2 linked regions of the Oryctolagus cuniculus genome follow. The protein of the gene in region 1 interacts with the protein of each later gene in a biochemical or structural test. Links are inferred from orthologs where the notes say so. Each region holds a gene or a part of one and is shown on either strand. Other genes may lie near its edges.

Evidence for each region.
Region 2: of the proteins of MCM7 (region 1) and DBF4, one has a biochemical effect on the other in vitro, tested with the Homo sapiens proteins (2 studies listed by BioGRID). The link is inferred for Oryctolagus cuniculus from reciprocal best matches to the Homo sapiens genes MCM7 and DBF4.

Annotation. Positions count from the first base shown.
Region 1 is NC_091450.1:42,362,448-42,372,167, reverse strand, and holds MCM7 (DNA replication licensing factor MCM7), read left to right. Parts: upstream 1-2,206; 5' UTR 2,207-2,334; coding exon 2,335-2,365; intron 2,366-2,921; exon of another isoform or gene 2,922-3,055; intron 3,056-3,059; exon of another isoform or gene 3,060-3,185; intron 3,186-3,430; coding exon 3,431-3,510; intron 3,511-3,818; coding exon 3,819-3,983; intron 3,984-4,129; coding exon 4,130-4,254; intron 4,255-4,328; coding exon 4,329-4,509; intron 4,510-4,802; coding exon 4,803-4,940; intron 4,941-5,169; coding exon 5,170-5,319; intron 5,320-5,497; coding exon 5,498-5,612; intron 5,613-5,693; coding exon 5,694-5,825; intron 5,826-5,945; coding exon 5,946-6,029; intron 6,030-6,247; coding exon 6,248-6,641; intron 6,642-6,882; coding exon 6,883-6,966; intron 6,967-7,659; coding exon 7,660-7,828; intron 7,829-7,942; exon of another isoform or gene 7,943-8,003; intron 8,004-8,164; exon of another isoform or gene 8,165-8,226; intron 8,227-8,371; exon of another isoform or gene 8,372-8,431; intron 8,432-8,599; coding exon 8,600-8,709; intron 8,710-8,849; and 3 more. Other genes in the region: AP4M1 (AP-4 complex subunit mu-1), read right to left, coding at 2-55, 142-208, 310-372, 573-653, 746-856, 1,112-1,208, 1,400-1,506, 1,661-1,749 and 1 more. UniProt on the Homo sapiens protein: Acts as a component of the MCM2-7 complex (MCM complex) which is the replicative helicase essential for 'once per cell cycle' DNA replication initiation and elongation in eukaryotic cells.
Region 2 is NC_091447.1:47,462,258-47,473,220, reverse strand, and holds part of DBF4 (protein DBF4 homolog A), read left to right. Parts: intron 1-4,531; coding exon 4,532-4,711; intron 4,712-6,958; coding exon 6,959-7,009; intron 7,010-7,435; coding exon 7,436-7,505; intron 7,506-7,724; coding exon 7,725-7,801; intron 7,802-10,963. UniProt on the Homo sapiens protein: Regulatory subunit for CDC7 which activates its kinase activity thereby playing a central role in DNA replication and cell proliferation. Required for progression of S phase.

The DNA of each region.
Region 1 (9,720 bases):
CCTCTCAATTCTGACTTCCCCACACAGAACTCCTCGGTCAAGCCGATGCGCATCTCTGTCCCAGGGAGGAATGCAGGAAAGGTCAGCAGATGTCTCCACAGGCGCCAAGGGGCCCGTCCCCACCCCAACCCGGATTCTCACCCGAGCCACTGGGCAGGAAGCTCTTGAGCCGGATCTCTCCCTGCACATCCACCTTCAACAGGGAGCCCTGAGAGTGGCAGGGAGGTTACTGCCCTGCGTCCCGACCCCCCAGCCCATTGCCCGGGCTCCGTCTGCCCGCAGCTCTGGGCTTAGAGCACCCAGACTCACATTAGATGCTATCAGTACAGATAATCTCTCAACCACGTCCAGGAAAACTTCATTCTTCTGGCTCTGAGGAAGAGAATGTGGGAGGCTGGTGGCTGACCAGCCCATGCCCTGGAACGCTTGGGCAGAAGGCACAGGGCAGTCAAAGGTGGGGACACACGGTCAGGGGTGGAAAGCCACGTTGGGGCTTTGGGTCTCTGGGACTGGATTCTGGGGCTCTGGGTCCTGGGAGAAAATTGGTTCGACCCCATGGATCTTTGCTTCACCTGGTCGGAGCGGCTGGACAGGACAGGGCGGCTGGCGGCACTGCTGGGAGCCACTTTGCTCTGTTGGGTCTCCGCACCGAACTGTGAAGCACCCAGAGCAATCAGCCCAGGGAACACTGGACACTCCCGGCCTGTCCTCCACCCACCCTCGGTCCTCGTCTTCCCCGACCTACCAAGCCAACACTGCTGAGGTCGAAGAGGCTGAAGGGCTTGCTGACCACAGCCTCTGTCTGGATGAAGTTCCTCAGCATCTCTGTGGACGTGGTCTGAACATAGCCATAGTCCTAGCGGTGGAGAAGAAAGGCGGGTGTTTGGGCCGCCTGCGGAGCCGGGAGAGGGATGGAAAAGGAGGCCTCCTGACCACGGCGTCCCGTGGTAGAAGACTGGATGTATGGGGAGTCTTCAGATTTATAGGAAATCAATATTGCGGGGTGGGGTGGGGTGGGGTGGGACGATGCGTGGGTTTCACAACCTTTGGCACTACGCGCATCCTTTAACGGCATTTGTTCGCGAAGTTTTGAGAAGTCCCTGGGTCTTACCAGCACCTCATCCAGGAGCTCATAGACCAGGGCCACGTTACGGGAGATGGTCGCCTCGCAGAGGGAGCCGCAGTAGTCGCCCAGGAGAGTGGCTACCCTGAGGAGGGAGGCAGGCAAGTGCGCCCCAGCCCAGTCCAGCCCTGCCCTGCCCTGCCCTGCCCTGCCCAGGCCAGCCCAGCCCAGCCCAGCCCAGCCCAGCCCAGCCCTGCCCTGCCCTGCCCTGCCCTGCCCGGCCCAGCCCTGCCCTGCCCAGACCGGCCCTGCCCTGCCCGGCCCGGCCCTCCTCACCGGGACAGCAGCTCGAGGAGGCTGAAGGGAGAAATATTTGCCCAAGTCGTGGCCACCAAGTAGAGGCCGCTGTGTCTGATGTGGATGAAATGCCGGCCATCGTGGTGCTGAGGCAGAGGCGGGGCGAGAGGCGCTGGGCTGTGGTGACCGAGGGCTCCCGAGGCCCACACCCGGCGACCCCGGACCCTCCCCACGCCCCCCAAAGCGGGGGCACCCGCCGGGTCCGCCGGCTCCCAGCCCCCGCCCGCCGCGAGCGGTTACCATGACAACCGGGGACTCGTCTCCCGGCAAGCCCGTCAGCTTCCGGTAGAAGAGCTCGGCCACATCCCGGCCGCCGCTGTCTCCACGGACTGGCCGGTGGGAGAGGACAGTTAAGGAGCCAGCGACACAGGCTGACCCTGGGCACGACTCCCACCCGACCCCGCCCGCGGGTGGTCAAGGATACAGTCCTTGTAGATGAGCGGGTCCCCCTTGGAGGACAGAATGAAGAACTGGGAAATCATGGCCGTTCGGGAGGGCAGATCAGAACACGGCGAAAGTTGGGTCTGTCCCGCCCTGCGGTCCCGGAACAGAAGGACGCGAGAGGGCTGGCCCTTTAAGAGCGCTTCCCCGCCGCTTAGGCCGAACCGGGACCGCGGGAAACCCGGCGCCGCCCCTCCTCGGCAGGCGGTTACCTCCCGGCCCCTCCACCGCCTCCCCGTCGCTCAACCCAGGCTCGCCCCATCATTGGGCAAAGCTGGAACCTCCCAATGAGAGGGAGGGGCGGAGAGCCGGCCTCTCCGATTGGCCCGCACGCCGCGGCGCGGGTCACGTGGGGGGCGACGTTTCGCGCCAATTTCGGTTGGTCCGCCACAGCCCGCCGCGCGGACGGTCTGTGCTTCCCGTGAGCAAGACTATCGAGCCCGCCAACTGCTGCCGCCTGGCCCTCGGCAGCGATGGCGCTTAAGGACTACGCGCTCGAGAAAGGCAAGGGCCTGCGGGTGTGGGAGGGGCGCGCCCTGCATTGGATGCCTTCCGGCTAACACCTGTTGGTGGAAGCCGGGGGGTGGTGGTCTCGGGAGCCGGGTCGGGGGCGATCCGCGAGGGCCGCGGCCAGGCTGAGGTGGACGGTGCCTGGGAGGCGCATGGGAGCATCGGGGTTGCAGAAACGCTGGCCATTGCCCGACTAGGGTGTTGGGGTTCGTGGGAGGGGGAGTAACTGCGGTGGCGCGCCCCAGGGGGGGTGGGTCGCGTCCGCGAGAGACCGGGTCTTGGGGGACCCTGTCTAGGGGCTTTAGCCTGCACGATGGCGACTCGCCCGGGGGCACCCCCTGGTTTCCCGCGCCCTCCGGAGCCCTGGCGCCGAAGTCGGGGGGGGGCGGGCCGGCCGGGGCCGCTGCGCGCTGCGATTGGCTGTTTCGGGCCGCCCTCCCGGCGGAAGTGGAGGCGGCGGAAGTGGCGGCCCGCGGGCGGAGGGAGTGTCGTGTGTAAACAGTGTCCTTCCGCGCGGTGGCCTCGGCGAGCGCGGCCGAGGCGGGGGGCGGGGGGGGCGTGCCCGGACCCCGAGCGGCCGGCGCGAGGCCGGGAGAGGCGGCCGTCGGGCGAGGCCGAGCGGCCCCCGGGGTGCTGGCCGGTCGCCGGACGGGCTCCCGCCGCGGGCGGAGGAATCCCCGAGCGGTGAGGCGGCTGGAATCGGGGCCCATGTGCTTCTTTGTTTACTAAGAGCGGAAGCGGTGGCGGGGAGCCCCGCGGGGACGCAGGGCCGGGGACCCGCGGGGAGAGCGGGATCGGCCGCGGGTGCTGCGGGGTGAGGGAAGCGGCTGGGGAGCGCGGAGACGGAGATTCCCCCGGGGGAGAGGGTTGGGTAGTAAGTTCTCGGCTGCCCGGGGGCCAGGCTTGCGAAGGGAGTTGTGTCCACCCCGGCAGGTCTGTCCCGAGGCTCCTGCCATTGGCTGATTTAGTCCTAATTTAGTTTCTAAGTGACCGCGGCTCCCTGGGGTTGCCGTCAGGGTTTGCAGGGTTGGCCCTTAGGGTTTCTCGTTTCCGTTGCAGAGAAGGTTAAGAAGTTTCTGCAGGAGTTTTACCAGGATGAAGAGTTGGGGAAGAAGAAGTTCAAGTATGGGGACCAGTTGGTAGGTGTAAGATGGGTTGAAGAACGTAAGGGGTGGGGTGGTCGCTCAAGAGGCCGCAGCAGGCACCCTGGCTCCTTTCAGTAAGTGCATTCCTGACACGTTCAAGGGAGACCCTGATACCTGCTAAGATTCTGTGCTCGAGTAATGAGGGCGTTTTTAGGAGTGGGCTTGGGAGCGGAGGTATTTCTCTGTTGTATGTACTCTCCTGTGGATGCCCAGACCTGGGCTCTGAGCTCGCGGCACTGGGCCCTTACAAGTGACCATGGTGAATTTGCCTTTGAGGTGTTGCTCTCTCCTCCCTTCCCCAGGTTCGCCTGGCTCATCGGGAACAAGTGGCAATGTACGTGGACCTGGATGACGTCGCCGAGGACGACCCTGAGCTGGTGGACTCCATTTGCGAGAACGCCAAGCGCTACGCGCGGCTCTTTGCTGACGCCGTGCAGGAGCTGCTGCCTCAGTACAAGGATCGGGAGGTGAGTGGCTGGAGCTGGTGCTGGGACGCTTCTCAGGCCCTGCTGGTGTCTGAGCTGACGGAAAGGGGGAGGGGGCGTTGGCTTTTATATCTGCCTCCTGTGTGCCTTTCCTTGTCTCTCATTTTTTTTTCTTTTTTTTGCTTTAGGTAGTAAATAAAGATGTCCTGGATGTTTACATTGAGCACCGGCTGATGATGGAGCAGCGGAGCCGGGACCCTGGAGCTGCCCGAAGCCCCCAGAACCAGTACCCTCCTGAGCTCATGCGCAGATTGTGAGTGGTCGCTGTGAGAGGGCGGTAGGCGTGTGTCCTCCTGGGCCTTGCTGATGACCGTCTTCCCCCCTTAGTGAGTTGTATTTTCAAGGCCCGAGCAGCAACAAACCTCGTGTGATCCGGGAAGTACGGGCCGACTCTGTGGGTAAATTGGTGACCGTGCGCGGAATCGTCACTCGTGTCTCTGAAGTCAAACCCAGGATGGTGGTGGCCACTTACACCTGTGACCAGTGTGGGGCAGAGACCTACCAGCCAGTACGTAACAGGGCAGTGCTTAACTGTTGTTTTCTGTAAAACTAATTTTACCTGCTGATGTGTGTATCTGTCATTCTGTGCTTACCGCCAAAGATAGCTATATTTTTTTCCCGTAAATAGTAGTCTATTTTGTTTTCTTGGCGTTTTTATCATTTACAGCCCAGATTAGCTGTAGGCATTCTTGATACTTGTCTGTTGTCTGCTGTGAAGAGAAAATGTGATTCAGGTAACTGAAGCTCATAAGGATCCTTCTTCTTCTGATTTCTTTTGGTGCCTCCCTTATCACATTCTAGATCCAGTCTCCCACTTTCATGCCTCTGATCATGTGCCCGAGCCAGGAATGCCAGACCAACCGCTCAGGCGGGCGGCTGTATCTGCAGACACGCGGCTCCAAGTTCATCAAGTTCCAGGAAATGAAAATGCAGGAACATGTGAGTTTGGGGTACGTGGCCCAGGCAGGTGGAGCAGGGAGTCCACTCAAGTCCTGCAGTCATTCCTGAAGGAGCAGAAAGCCCAGGAGAGGGAGGAGCTGGCACGGGGTCACATGGAGTGAGGGAGGTTTAACTGGGATTCTGAAGAGTGGGATGCCTCCGGGGGGAAGGCTAGGTCCTTGTGGGCTTGGGTCCCTGTCTGCTGGCTTTCAGACTCTCTCTTCTCCAGAGCGACCAAGTGCCTGTGGGAAATATCCCACGGAGCATCACAGTGCTGGTGGAAGGGGAGAACACAAGGATTGCCCAGCCTGGAGACCACGTCAGTGTCACGGGCATCTTCCTGCCACTCCTGCGCACTGGGTTCCATCAGGTGGTCCAGGTAAGAAAGAGTTGGAAATGAGGGGGAAATAGTCCCCCTTCCCCTGACTGGACCTCAGAGGGAACAACAGAAAAACAAACAAGCAGACAAACAGAACAAAGGGTTGTGTGAAGCAGTCATTAGGGGAGTGATCATGGCCAAGTTAAAGGGATTTCATTCCCGCTTTTTCCTGCCCAAGGGTTTACTCTCGGAGACGTACCTAGAGGCCCATCGAATCGTGAAGATGAACAAGAGTGAGGATGACGAGGCTGGGGCTGGGGAGCTGAGCAGGGAGGAGCTGAGGCAGATTGCAGGTGAGGGGCCAGGAAGGGTGGGCGCTTGCCTGGTCCTGGCCCCTTTCCCCGACCAAAGAGCCCGACCTTCCCGTTCCGCAGAGGAGGATTTCTATGAAAAGCTGGCAGCGTCTATCGCCCCAGAGATTTACGGGCACGAAGATGTCAAGAAGGCACTGTTGCTTCTGCTGGTGGGAGGTGTGGACCAGTCTCCTCGAGGAATGAAGATCAGGGGTGAGGAAGGGAGGGAGGGCAGGGCAGGGCAGGGTGGATGGAGTCATGGGGGTTGGACCTCAAGCGTGTTTCTGGACAACCTGCAGTGGGAGAAGTCACTCGGGCTGCCTTTCCTTCCAGGCAACATCAACATCTGCCTGATGGGGGACCCCGGGGTGGCCAAGTCGCAGCTCCTGTCTTACATCGACCGCCTGGCCCCCCGCAGTGAGTATCCAGCCCTGGGGAGGCAGAGAGGACCGCAGTACTCCAGAGGCAGGAGGAGGTGGAAGGAGCGGGTCTGGGAAAGGTGGTGGCAAGACCAGGGAGGTGAGAGTGGAGGAATCCAGTGCAGGTCTCGTCTCACTGCCCTGTTTCTTGGGTGCTTGGCCTTTTCCCATGCTCCCTGCTCGTTCTCACGTGCACGCTTGCTTCTCTTTGTCCAGGCCAGTACACAACAGGCCGCGGCTCTTCGGGAGTGGGGCTCACGGCAGCCGTGCTGCGAGACTCTGTGAGCGGGGAGCTGACCCTAGAGGGCGGGGCCCTCGTGCTGGCCGACCAGGGCGTGTGCTGCATCGATGAGTTTGACAAGATGGCGGAGGCCGACCGCACGGCCATCCACGAGGTCATGGAGCAGCAGACCATCTCCATCGCCAAGGCGGGCATCCTCACCACACTCAACGCCCGCTGCTCCATCCTGGCTGCTGCCAACCCTGCCTACGGGCGCTACAACCCCCGCCGCAGTCTGGAGCAGAACATCCAGCTCCCCGCTGCGCTGCTCTCCCGATTCGATCTTCTCTGGCTGATCCAGGACCGGCCCGACCGAGACAACGACCTCCGGTTAGTGGAGCAGCATGGCCAGGGAGTGGGGTTCTGGAGGGAGGGCGGGAACCCCGGAAAATGGCTCGGCACAGCAGGGGTTGCTAGGCAGTTCTTAGAGGGCCCCTGCCCAAGTGCTGCTGAGGGCTTCCTGGAGAGTTTGTTCTTCCATCTGTGAGGCAGCCACAGAGCCAAGAGGAATATTTAAAGCAGGACGTGGGGTGTGGCGCTCTAAAGAGCCTGCCTTCTTAACTCTTCCCAGGTTGGCCCAGCACATCACCTATGTGCACCAGCACAGCCGGCAGCCCCCCGCCCAATTCGAACCTTTGGACATGAAGCTTATGAGGTAAGAGGCTGCTGGGGGGGGGACAGGTGTACTTCAGGCAAGTGTGCAGCCTGTGACAGCGTCGTGGCTGTGTGGCTCCTGAAAGGCTTTCACAGAGCGGGTGGGTTGGCTTTTTAATACTCTGCCCACCCTCTCCCTGCTACCCGCTTCTGCCACGTGCCAGGCGTAAGAACACCCAGTCTGGGTTCCCCGAACCTGGCTAGCCAAGGACCGCATGTCTTTAGAATCTGCCTTTCTCGCCACCCCCACCATGGTCCTGCCTGCGGGGGTGGGCACAGCGTTCAGGCTGCGCTGGATCGCCCTCCAGCTCTTCTCCATGGCCCCAGTGTTCCCGGTGTGTGCTCAGGGTCTTGCTGTGCGCTCTATCTACTGAAATAGTATGTTTCTAGTCCCTTTAGCCACATCATGTTTACAAGAGGGTGGGTGATCTTTTGTGACAGTTGGATTTGTCTTAATTTCACAGAGGTCACTTTCCTGAAAAGTTGAAAATCATCTGAAACATGATGTGGAAATCCCTCAGCGATACTGGAGTCAAACACAGAGTCACCCACTCGTTTTTCTGCTTAAAAGTCCTTACTTCTGAGAGTTTTCTCATTAAATGGAGGAACCATTAGGCAGAAAACACCATGCCCATGTGTGTACCCCATTCCCCCTCTTCATGTTCTGCTTTCCCATGAACCTTTTCTCCCACAGACGCTACATAGCCATGTGCCGTGAGAAGCAGCCCACAGTGCCAGAGTCCCTGGCAGACTACATCACAGCAGCATACGTGGAGATGAGGCGAGAGGCCTGGGCCAGTAAGGATGCCACATACACTTCCGCCCGGACACTGCTGGCCATTCTCCGACTTTCCACTGCTCTGGTGAGTGCCTGGTTCCCCGTACTGCTGGAGGGTGTCCGTTTCCATCCCTACTGGCAATGAACCCTCACTTGGTCCTCTCGCTGCCGCCTCCTCCCACACCCGCCCTGCTGGGGCTAAAGTGCTGACAGTGCAGATAGTGGTCCTGTCCGTGCTACCGCACTGTGGGTACTTGCTGCTCCAGCAGGGCACGCACGTCCACGGAAGGAGAGGCCTTCTCTCCCCACTTCTGCAGCCTCACTGAAGCGGGGGAGGGTCCCTCTCTCTCCCCACCTCCTTGATCCTGTGCTATAAGCTTCCTTTCTGTCCTCACATCTCGGACCGTAGTCCCGGGGGCTCCAAAGTGCTGTTCGTGCAGGTAGTGTGATTACCTGACCTACTGCTGAGCTAGCACTTCCCGAGCCCCTGGGACACAGCCTCTCTGCCAACCGCCTGCTAGGCTGAGCTCCCCAGGCTGCATCTGTCGTGGTGGGGAGCCCACTGGAGTTCGGAAGGGTCTGGTCTCCCTCACAGGACAGCTGAACACCGGGACTGGCCAGTGTTGAGAGGCGGAGACTTGGGCAATTGCTGGACGCTGCCCTGGGCATTGCACTTGTCTCGGTCTGACAGTGCCGGCCCTACACTGCGGATGTGGGGGAGCAGGGGAGGGGTCCCTGCTCCTTTTGCGAGCAGACGGCACATAGGTTGTCCAGCCTTAAAGCTGGAACCAAGGGGGTTTCTCTGACTTTATTCCATTCTCCTCCTGTCCCCCTCTCTCCCCTACTTTCCCCTTAGGCACGTCTGAGAATGGTGGACACAGTGGAGAAGGAAGATGTGAATGAAGCCATAAGGCTCATGGAGATGTCCAAGGACTCACTTCTGGGCGACAAGGGGCAGACAGCCAGGTGAGTGGTTTAATGATGAGATTGGGTCACCTTGACCGTTGCAGGCTTCAGCATCCAGATGCATGAGCTGACCACTCTCCGTTGTCACTGTCAAGTGTCCTGGCTTGTGCCCTGATTCCATACCCTCGTGTTTCCTTCAGGACACAGAGGCCAGCAGATGTGATATTTGCCACTGTCCGCGAGTTGGTCTCGGGGGCCCGGAGCGTCCGGTTTTCTGAGGCAGAGCAGCGCTGCATATCCCGTGGCTTCACACCTGCCCAATTCCAAGCAGCTCTGGACGAGTATGAGGAGTTGAATGTCTGGCAGGTCAATGCTTCCCGGACACGGATCACTTTTGTCTGATTCCAACCTGCTTGAGACCTTGGGGACCCACTGTGCTCGCCGCTCACCTGCTGCCTTTGCAGGTGTAACCCAGCTCCGGAGGGGTGGGAGGAGCCCCTCTTCCTGTGCTGCACTTGCTTGTTTTGCTACTTTTGTTAATATAATAAAGTGTGTAGATTGCTGCCTTGTACCTTGGTCCTGACTTCTGTTAAACAGGTGTTATGGGGCTTTAAGAGTCCTCTCTCCTTCCCCTTTATGCTGGCCCTACCCCATCTCTGAGCTTTCTGAGAAAGTACCTTCGCTACCCACCAGCCACCACGAGATGCTGGGGAGGCAGTGAGGAGCAAGTTCCTATTTAACCTCAGCACCAGTGAGAACCATAGGCAAGACAGCGGTTCCCTTTCCTATTTCTTGAGGTGTATCCATCACAACAGCTCAGATAGCTCGATCCCCAGCTTCTGTAAAGCCCCTTCAAGGGGGCTGAGGAAAAGACCAGGAGTGGCATGCAGTGGTGTTACCAGGCACAGGTAAATCCCCGCTTTCTGGCCTTTCCCAAGTGAGTGCCAATAGCACCACTGTCAACAGGCAGGGGTGAGGCACTGGGTCAGTGCAGTAACCCAGGGGAAACCACTCCCTCTAATTCTCAGCACCCACAGGAGCCAGGCTTTTGAAATGTCCCTAATAAAAATG
Region 2 (10,963 bases), on another chromosome or scaffold:
ACCTATCTCTGTGTCTCCCTCTCTCTCTCTATAACTCTCTTTCAAATAAATAAAATAAAATAAAATGGCATGTCCCATATTGAAGTACCTAGGTCACAATCCTGTTTCTGCTCCTTATTCCAGTTTCCTGCTGGTGTGTACCCTGGGATGCCTCAGAAGATGGCTTAAATAGTTGGATCCCTACTACCCAAGTGGGAGACTTGGATTGACTTCCAGGTTCCTGGGCAGTGGATGGGAGTCACTTTGTGTGAAGTTAGCCAGTGGATGGGAGTTCACTTTGTGTGTGTATCTATCTCTCAAATAAGTTCAAATAAGTAAAGTTAACAAAAATATGGACATGGGAGATTTCATTCAAAAATTATTCTATCAGTGGCTCCAGTATGCCAGCACTATTTTAGATGCTGGGAATGTAACAGTAAGATATAGTCTGCTCATGGAATCTCAGCCTAGGAGGAATGTCAAACAATTTAATACATACTTTACAATAGAGCATTGTTAGTATGTTAGCAAAAATATATAGAAATTGCTATTAAAAGAGGAAAATTATAACACTGCCATAGAGATAAAATTTGAGCTGAGTCTTTAAGACTTAATGGGAATGCACCAAGCAGAGTGGACATTTTAATAGAGGAAAGGGCATATTTAAAATAGATGTCAAAGTGGTTTTTTTTCCTAACTATTAATGTTGCATTGTGACTTGAGCTTGGAATTTAGATGGGGTGAATGGCAAAAAACAAAATTGTATTAGAGTTGTAAAAAGCATTTTACTCAGTTCTAAGGAGTTTAAGTTTGCAGAAATCCAAAGGAACTGTGTGATACTATTTGGCAATGATTTCTTGGATATGATAGCTAAATTATAGGCAACTAATGAAAAAATGGGAAAATTGGGCTTTATCAAATTTAGGAAGTTTGGTGCCTCAAGAACATTATCAAAGAGTTATGACAAGTGGCACCGGCATCCCATATGGGCGCTGGGTTCTAGTCCTGGTTGCTCCTCTTCCAGTCCAGCTCTCTGCTGTGGCCTGGGAGGGCAGTGGAGGATGGCCCAGATGCTTGGGCCCCTGCACCCACATGGGAGACCAGGGAGAAGCACCTGGCTCCTGGCTTCAGATTGGCACAGAGTCAGCCGTAGCGGCCATTTGGGGAGTGAACCAATGGAAGGAAGACCTTTCTCTCTGTCTCTCTCTCTCTCTTTCACTGTCTATAAATCTACCTGTCAAATAAAAAAAAAAGAAGTTATGACAACCCACAGACTGATAGGAACTATTTGCAAATCATATATATATATAAGAGATTGACATCCTGACTATACAAAGAGCTTTTCCAACTCAATAGTAAAAAATAACTCAATTAAAAATTAGGCAACGGACTTGTAAAGACATTTACTCCAAGAAGATACCTCATGGCTGTTAAGTACATGAAATGATGCTCAACATTTCTAGGCATCAGAGAAATGCAAATAAAAATCACAGTGAGTTGCCACTTCATGCTCATTAGGATGGCTACTGTCAATGAATCAGGGAGCTGGCACTGTCGTGTGCTGGCATACCCTATGGGCGCTGGTTCAAGTCCTGGCCGCTCCACTTCTAATCCATCTCCTTGTTCATGTCCAAAGAAGATAGCAGAAGATGGGCCCAGGTGCTTGGGCACTTGCACCCAAGTGGGAGACCCAGAGGAAGTTCTTGGCTCCTGGTTTTGGGCTGGCTGAGCCTGGGCTGTTGTGGTCATTTGGGGAGTGAGCCAATGGATGGAAGATCTCTCTCTCTCTTTCTCCTTCTCTCTATCTCTGCCTTTCAGATAAATATTTAAAAAAAAATCAGAAGATGACAAGTGTGGAGAAATGAAACCTTTGTCCACTCTTAGTGGGAATGTTAAATGATGCAGCCACTATGTGAAACACCATGGGTAGTTTCTGAAAAAATATTTTATACTATGTATGATCCTGCAGTTTTACTTATGAGTATATGTGTCCAAAATAAGTTCTGGAAGAGAGATTTATTATATCCATGTTCATGGCAGCAGTATTATTCACAGATACTGTTCTTCAGCCATAACATCCAACAGGTGAATTGATAAACAGAACATTGTATATACTTGCAATGGAGCGTTAACTCAGGTTTCAAAGGAATGAAACTGAAACTTGCTACAACATGAATGAACCTAAAAAATGTTGTATTAAGTGAAAGAAGCCAGTCATAAAAGGATGAATACAAGACTCCACTTAATATGATTGTGTTAGTCCATTTTCTGTGTAACAGACTGAGGATAAAGTTTTATTTGGCTCAAAGTTCTAAGTCAGGTGGCCATATCTGGTAAGGTCCTCAGTGGTGGAAACCTTCTGCAAAGTCCCATGACAGGGAGAACATTACATAGTGAAACTTTTCTGTTTCTTTTAAAGTCCTAGTCCCATTGGATTAGAGTGCCGCCCTTTTGGCCTCATTTAACCTTTAATTACCTACCAAAGGTCCCACTTCCAAATGCTGTAGATTAAGTTTTCACCTTCTTAAGACCACACAATGAGTATTAAATTCCAATGTGGGTTTTGTTGAGGACCTTGATGGCAATGAGATACCTAGAAGAGCCACATTCATACAGGCAGAAGATAGAATAGAGGCTACCATGAGCTGGGGGTAGGGGTGGGAGTGGGGGTGAGGAGAATGTGTACTTGTTTAACTGGGTACAGATTTTTCACTTTGGGATTATGAAAAACGTTCTAGAAATCTTGATAGCAGTGATAGTTGCATAACATTATGAAAGTATTGTCACTGACTTCTATGCTTGAGAATGGTTAAAATGGGGCAGGCAGTGTGGCACAGTGGGGTAATAAGCTGCTTCTTGGGATACCTTCTTTCCATATCAGAGCTCCAGTTGGAGTCCTGACTGCTCTGCTTCTAATGCAGCTTCCTGGTAATGTGTGCTGGAAGACTGCAGGTGATGACTCAAGGACTTGACTTCCTACTACCCACGGGGGAGACAGCTGGAGTTTCTGGCTCCTGATTTTGGCCTTGCCCAGCCCTGGCTATTGTGGGCATTTGAGTAGTAAACCAGTGATGGAAGAGCTCTCTCTGTCTCGCTACCTTTCAAATAAATAAAAATAAACATTTTTAAATGGTTGAAATGGTAAAAGTTTTCAGGTCTATTTTATCACAAAATATGTAGGAGAGGCTTCTCTTAAAATTAGAACCTCCGTCTTTGCTAGGGTATCTTTTATGAAAATGAAGACAGTGTTTAATGTGTAAATTGTTCCTTTAAGTTCCTTTCTGGCTGTGGCAGGCAACTGAATATTTAATCCCTGAAATAAATAAATGTGGGTACTTTATTTATTAGCCAACAGAAATACTCAAAAAAAATTGATTTACATGTTACCAAAGAAGGCTTTCTGGGTCTCAGTAGCAAATTCTGCATACTTAGATAAAATTATCCAATTCAGAAGTCTTTTTTTCCATACAAATAGGGATTAATAATTTATTTCTACTTAGTGTACTTACTGTTCATTTAATATTTATTTGTGCAATGTATATATTTTAGTAATACTAGTATTTTTCTATTTAGTGTTTACTTCTGCTTAATTTTCCTGCCCCAGGATGTGAGTGATCTTCAGTAACATTGACTTTGGTTTATGTGCTTATAATATTCAGGCATTTAAGCAGTGATTTTCAAACATTTTAGTAGGCAGATTCTCGTTTAACAATCTTACACTCTTAAGGTAAAGATTTTCTCTTTCTTGTAAGTTTAAGCCTTGGGGGAAAGTGTTACAACTTAATGATTTAGCTTCAAATAAAATTTAAAATCCAATGGCCCAGTCATACTGAAAACTTTTCAAGTGCTTAGTCACCATATGTGGCAAGTGGCTGCTGTATTGGCTAGTGCAGAAAACTCTTTTCGTCATTGAGGAAATTTTACTGGACTCTGCTGCCCTTTTTTTTTTTTTTTTTGACAGGCAGAGTGGACAGTGAGAGAAACAGAAAGAAAGGTCTTCTTTTTGCCGTTGGTTCACCTTCCAGTGGCCACTGCAGCCGGCACACTGCGCCGATCCGAAGGCAGGAACCAGGTGCTTCTCCTGGTCTCCCATGCAGGTGCAGGGCCCAAAGACTTGGGCCATCCTCCACTGCACTCCAGGGCCACAGCTGAGAGCTGGCCTGGAAGAGGGGCAACCGGGACAGAATCCGGCACCCCGACCGGGACTAGAACTCGGTGTGCGGAGGATTAGCCTATTGAGCTGTGGCACCGGCCAGACTCTGCTGCTTTAGATCATGGGCTTTCACTATTGGTATAATCTCAAGTAAGCCATTTCTTTTTTGTTGTCTTCTCAAAAAGATGGATAATATTAATACTATGGGGTTGTTACATGGATTACAACACATACTGTTGTGTTATTGAAAGTCTGATTACATTTCCTTAGAATTCCAGGTTCAGCATTAAAAACATTAATTTTTAAGACAGTAAATTGCATCAAATTGGGGTTTTACTATGTGCCTAGTGTATGAAACAATTGGTTTTTATGACATGCAAATGTTTTGTTTTCCTCTAGCGAGTTGAAGAATTTCTTAGCAAAGATATCAGTTATCTTATTTCAAATAAAAAGGAAGCTAAATTTGCTCAAACTTTGGGCCGAATATCTCCTGTACCAAGTCCAGAATCTGCATATACTGCAGAAACCACTTCTCCTCATCCCAGCCATGATGGAAGTTCATTTAAGTCTCCAGACACAGTAAGTCTCAAATATGCTTTGAAAGGCTGTCACCTATCAATACCAGACTGGCAACAGAGTTTATATAGATAGAGCAGTTATAAAGCCACAAGACTTTCTGATTGTCTTTGGGAAAGGTGATTTAAAAAAAAAAAAAATAGTGCTTGTGTATTTGTACCCTGATTTTTTTTTTTTTTTTTTTTTTGACAGGTAGAGTTATAGACAGTGAGAGACAGAGAAAGGTCTTCCTTCCGTTGGTTCACTCCCCAAATGGCCGCTACAGCCAGCGCTGCACCAATCCAGAGCCAGGTGCTTCTCCCTGGTCTCCCACGCGGGTGCAGGGATCCAAACACCTGAGCCATCCTCCACTGCCCTCCCAGGCCAAAGCAGAGAGCTGGACTGGAAGAGGAGCAGCCGGGACTAGAACCCAGTGCCCATATGGGATGCCGGCGCGTGGGCAGAGGATTAACCAAGTGAGCCATGGCACCAGCCCTGTACCCTGATTCTTAACATATACCTTGCATTTAAGGATGAATTATATTTTTTAGAGTAATCTACAACTAAAAGTTTAATAGCGCATCGTTCTTTTAAAGAATTATTATATATTATTTGTTGTGGTTTTCATGCTTTAGAAAGAATAGAATAATTGTTAGAAACTATATCATCTGTAAGACATAAAATCTGTATTATCTGACCCTTTGCATAAAAAGGGTACCAGCCTGTTTTAGAGTTTCTAACATGACATCCCAGCTATTCCACTGCCAAGAAGATACAGGGGTGGATAGAATACGATGGTTTAATAAAGTGTGGGAAGGGGAACAGGTTGAGAGATAAAATGTTAGGTTTATCTCATTTTTTTTTATATTGAAACATATTTAAATTCTCATTTTAAAAAATCCTCAATTGGGGTAACATTGTGGTGCAGCAGGTTAAACCACTACCTGTTATGCTACCATCCCATGTGAAATCTGGTTCAAGTCCTGGCTGCTCTGCTTTTGATCCAGCTCTCTGCTAGTGTGCCTGGGAAAGCAGTGGAATATGAGATAAACCTAACATTTTATATCTCGACCTTTTCCCTTCCCCACACTCTATTAAATCACCTTATTCTGTCCTTCCCTGTATCTTCTGATCCAGCTCTCTGCTAAAGCACCTGAGAAAGCAGTGGAATATAGCCTGAGTGTTTGGGCCCCTGCAAGCCCCATAGGAAACCCAGGAGTTCAAGGCTCCCAGCTTTGGCCTGGCTCAGCCCTGGCCCTTGCGACTGTTTAGGGGGTGAACCAGTGGATGGAAAAAGCTCACTCTTTGTATGTCTCTCCCTCTCTCTCTAATTCTGCATTTCAAATAAACCTTAAAAACCCTGTGGTCTAGTAGGTAAAGCCACTGTCTGCAGTGCCGGCATCCCATATGGGCCCTGGTTCAACTCCCAGCTGCTCCACTTCTGTTCCAGCTTCCTGCTAATTCGCCTGGGAAGGCAGTGGAGAATGGCCCAGGTCTTTGGGCCCCTGCACCTATGTGGGAAATCCAGAAGAAGCTCCTGGCTCCTGGCTTTGAACTAGCTCTACTCCGGCCATTGCTGCCATTTGGGGAATGAATCAATAAATGGAAGATCTCTCTCGATCTCTCTCTCTCTCTCTCGCTCTCTCTAACTCTGCCTTTCAAATAAATCTAAAGTAGGAAAATAAACCCTCATCTACTGTACCAATTTGAAAAGCAGAGAAAAGGAGAAGAAAACAGGCAGGAAAAATGACCTACAGAAGAAATTATAAAACATGATTCACAGAAGGAAAAAAAAATCAAAAGAAGAAACCAAGGAAGACTCATGCATGAATTTTTGGAGCAAGGAGACAGTACACAAGTGGTTTATTCCAAATTGATGTTCATTGCATTTCAACTGCTTTTCCTAGTATTTTATTTAAAAAATGAAATAACATGTAAAAACAATATATAAAATTATTTTTCTTAAATCTTCAATTAAATAGTAAACTAAAATATAAATCAACTAATTATGTAAAATTCTGGTGTGGCCTGGCTATTTTTCAAAACTGATCTGTTAGGTCTCTTTCAGTTGAATTGCTCAATCCAAAAAAACTTTTTAAATCTGAGATCTTGCCAAGGCCATGAAGAAATCACTTTTCACTGTATATGTATTGTATTGATAGCTATTAAGACTTTTACAAATAAAACATTACTTTAGCTATTTTACCTTTGTAACCTTTCTTCTACACTGAAACATTAGGTTATAACTTCATTTTTCTGGTCCTTTTATAGGTGTGTTTAAGCAGAGGAAAATTATTGGTTGAAAAAGCTATCAAGGACCATGTAAGTAAGAACTTTAAAAGTTCACACTGTACATTTTGTTATTAAAACTCATAGTGTATATTCTTGAAGCATTCTTTTCCTCATTTTTAATAGAAGAAACATGCATTTCAACCTGTATCTCATTTTACAATGTCCTTTTCATGAAGAAACATCCCCATCTTGTGGCCTTTTAAAATATTACTGGAAACTTGAAATTTGTCTTACAAATATGCATTAAATTGTTAAAAATGTGAGAATGTATTTTTAGTGGGATTGATTTTAGAAGTGTCAAAAGTAAGAACTTAATATCCTCTTTACTTTTGTGAAGTTGGTCTGTTATGAATTACCATCTCAGAGATAGTATGCTTCAAATAACTGATTTTTTTAACAGTTTAGCTCTCTTTAAAATAATAATTTCTTAGAAAAATTATCAAATTTTTTTTACAGGATTTTATTCCTTCAAATAGTATATTATCAAATGCCTTATCATGGGGAGTAAAGATTCTTCATATTGATGGTAAGGATTTTATAATTGTCTTTGGACAGTATTTGTTAACTCATTCTACCCCTCAGTTCCTGACATTACATAGTCAAAACTTTGATAGCAAGAGATATTTGTAATGGCAATTCATTCATCTCAATCTATTACAATTATGAAAAAACAAAACAGTGTTTTAACTCCAAGGCTAAAGTTGCTAATCTCAAATCTTTCTCTTTTTTTTTTTTTTTAATAAAGACATTAGATACTACATTGACCAAAAGAAAAAGGAGTTGTATTTATTCAAGAAATCAAGTGTTTCTGTAAAAGATGTGGTATGTTGTCTTCTTTAATTTTAAAAGTAATCAAGTTTGATTTTTTTATGTATGTATCTATAAATTTTTCTTGCCATACAAAGTATTATTGCCAGGATATACTAGGTATGATTTTGTGTTTTAATGTTTCTATTGTTCAAAAAACAGTTGCATGTCATTTATCTTGAGGATTATACTCAAGAGGTGAAAGTTGTTTTGGGATAATAGCATGGGCTTCTTTTTGTCTTTTTCATTTTTGGTTACTGCAGTTTTTAACAGATACTTCTGTTTATAGGAAAACACTGAAATTACCTTATTGCATTAGAAGATACTACTAATTCAAGTAATGTGCTGTTTTTTGGAATATATATCGGAAGTGTATTTCCTTTCAACTGCTCTGTTTGTTAATGTAACGTAGCCTTGCTGCACACACACATGCACATGCATACGTATATACACTTCACCACCACCCCTACCCCCACCACCCATAAGATAAGACTTGCTGTCCTAACTGTGAAATGTTTGTTACCCACACTGGGCAATGTGCTGCATTAGACCTGATGTTACCATATCTTCAATTTCTGCTTTTTCTCCTGGTTTCTTCTTTGAACCCGCTATACAAATCCAAGCATTTCCATTCTGTAAAACAAATAGAAAAAAACCTCCCTTAATTTCAATCCCTACCTAACTACATCTAATTTTTGTAATTCCTTTTATCCAAACTTCTTGTATCTCTCCTTTTATGCTTCTCACCTTTCAACCTACAAAGCATGAAACTCCTGATATATTTGCTATTCAATTTATATAAAACAAAGAGCCATCAGAGAGGTGGGATACCTAATTTGCTTTACAGTAAACCGGGAGCTCAGAAGGAGCTTGGACTCCAGGTCAGTTCCATTTCCAGCGACCCAACTCTTGGCTGGCAGAGGTGCCAGGACTCTCTGAAGGCTGACTTCTGTATCCATCTGAAGCCCTGGCTTTCCACATTGAAAACCAATGCCATTTGCGGTGCTGTGGCCTGTTGGGACTCCTTGATGGCAGATCACTGTGTAAAGCAGCCATTAATTGGCCTGTCACCTATCTTTCCATGGCTACCACTGCCCAGCTTGCTCCTTTTTTCTCCTGGTTTCTGGTAAAGGAGACCATGGAGGCAGTCTTTAAGAGGATGCAAGTCAAGGGGGTGCTCAATCCTATTCCTAATCTTTGGTGGCCTAAGCTAGAAATCTATAGTCATAGGTATGTTCTGATAGTGATTTTTCTGTGAGGTATCAATGCCCATGAAGAACGCTATGTCCTCACTTTGACATCAAACATGATGACCCCCTCATAAAATTTGAAGTCATTAGTGAAACTTTCTCTCCCTTCATTTGGTCTGAAAGGGAGATTTTTTACTGTGCCCATGGCAAAGTAAATCTAGCTGTGAAATCATAATTGAAGCTCTTATTTTGGCTTTGCTATTACAGAAAACTGTTAGCCATCCCTTTTATAAAGTCTAAAGATCAAACTGTACATCCTGGAGAGTCTTTCAGTATAGAGTCAGTTTCCCATCTTGAAGAGAATAGAGAAATGAGGGAACAAGTCAGCCTTCTCAGATCACTTATTGTCAATAACTTAATATCAAATGAAAACTTAGCAAGCAATTTTAACTGTTAAATAACAATTTATGAAAACATTTACCAAAGGTCCAGTGCCCTCTATAAATTTCAAGACAAGAGAACATGTATTTGGAAACATCGCTTAAATATCTAACACAAGTGTTAACTTGTTTGACCAGCAAACCCAAGTACAAACACTTTTAGTTTCTTTCTGCCAACAAATTTAAAACATCTGATACAGAGATTTATTTAGATCATGTGAACCAAAAACATTAATCTTTGATTAACTTAGCAGCTCAAATTTACGAGCAATCTATAATCCTATTAAAACAGAGCTCTTAATGAATTTTCCCATGTGGACATATAATATGTACACATGTATAACATAAAAGATAGAAGAGTAAAGCAGTTTCAATAAGTTTTTTAAAATCTTTAGCTTTTTTTTTTAATTACCATCAATCAGTTACAATTACTTCCTGTTCTTAGTAACCTAAATTAACCATACTTTATCTCTGTTGGAACCTGTAATCCATTATTGGCATTATGTGCTTAGAGAACTGTCCCAAAGTATTGAATACAACAGAGGTCAGAGAAAAAGAACTCCTTTGGAACCTAAGAGAGGACACATTCGACATAGAACCAACAATGTTTTAACCTCATTAATAGAAATCTAATTTTTTAGTGTTTAGAGAATACAGAGCTGTGGATGACAAAAGACTTTAAATAACAGTGTTTAAAATTATAAACTCATTAACTAACAGGAGGCTCTTGATTACTGCATATAGTATTTTTGAAAGCACCTGCAGGATTTTATTTTATTTTATTTTATTTTATTTTATTTTATTTTATTTTTTGATAGGCAGAGTGAACAGTGAGAGACAGAGAGAAAGGTCTTTGTTTTGCCATTGGTTCACCCTCCAATGGCTGCTGCAGCCGGCGCGCTGCGGCCGGTGCATCACACTGATCCAAAGCCAGGAGCCAGGTGCTTCTCCTGGGCTCCCTTGCGGATGCAGGGCCCAAGGTCTTGGGCCATCCTCCACTGCACTCCCGGGCCATAGCAGAGGGCTGGACTGGAAGAGGAGCAACTGAGACAGAATCCGGTGCCCCGACCAGGACTAGAACCCGGTGTGCTGGCGCCACAGGCGGAGGATTAGCTTATTAAGCTGCGGCACCGGCCACCTGTAGGATTTTATAAAACATTTAACCCCTTTAGGCCTCTGGGCCTTTCTCATTAAGGTAACTGTCATTCTGATAACAACACAACATCTTTAGATTTTGGTAACTTGGACATTTGTATCAGTAGCGTTTTACATTATCATAACCTAAAATTTAGCACCATTCACATCTTGACACTACCTTTAATATAATCCAAATAGCTTTATTGGTTGCTGTCTCTGCAAGATGAGACAGAAATCCTTTTTATATTTCCAAGGGCCCAACTGGAAATATCAAATCCAAGAAATTTGGAACTTTGATTTTTTGAATGGCTGTCAAAGGTGCCAAGAAGGTATAAAATATCTGGTTGAAACAGGATTCCTTAACATCATGACATAATGAAGACCATATTTGATCATTGTTACAAAGTGAT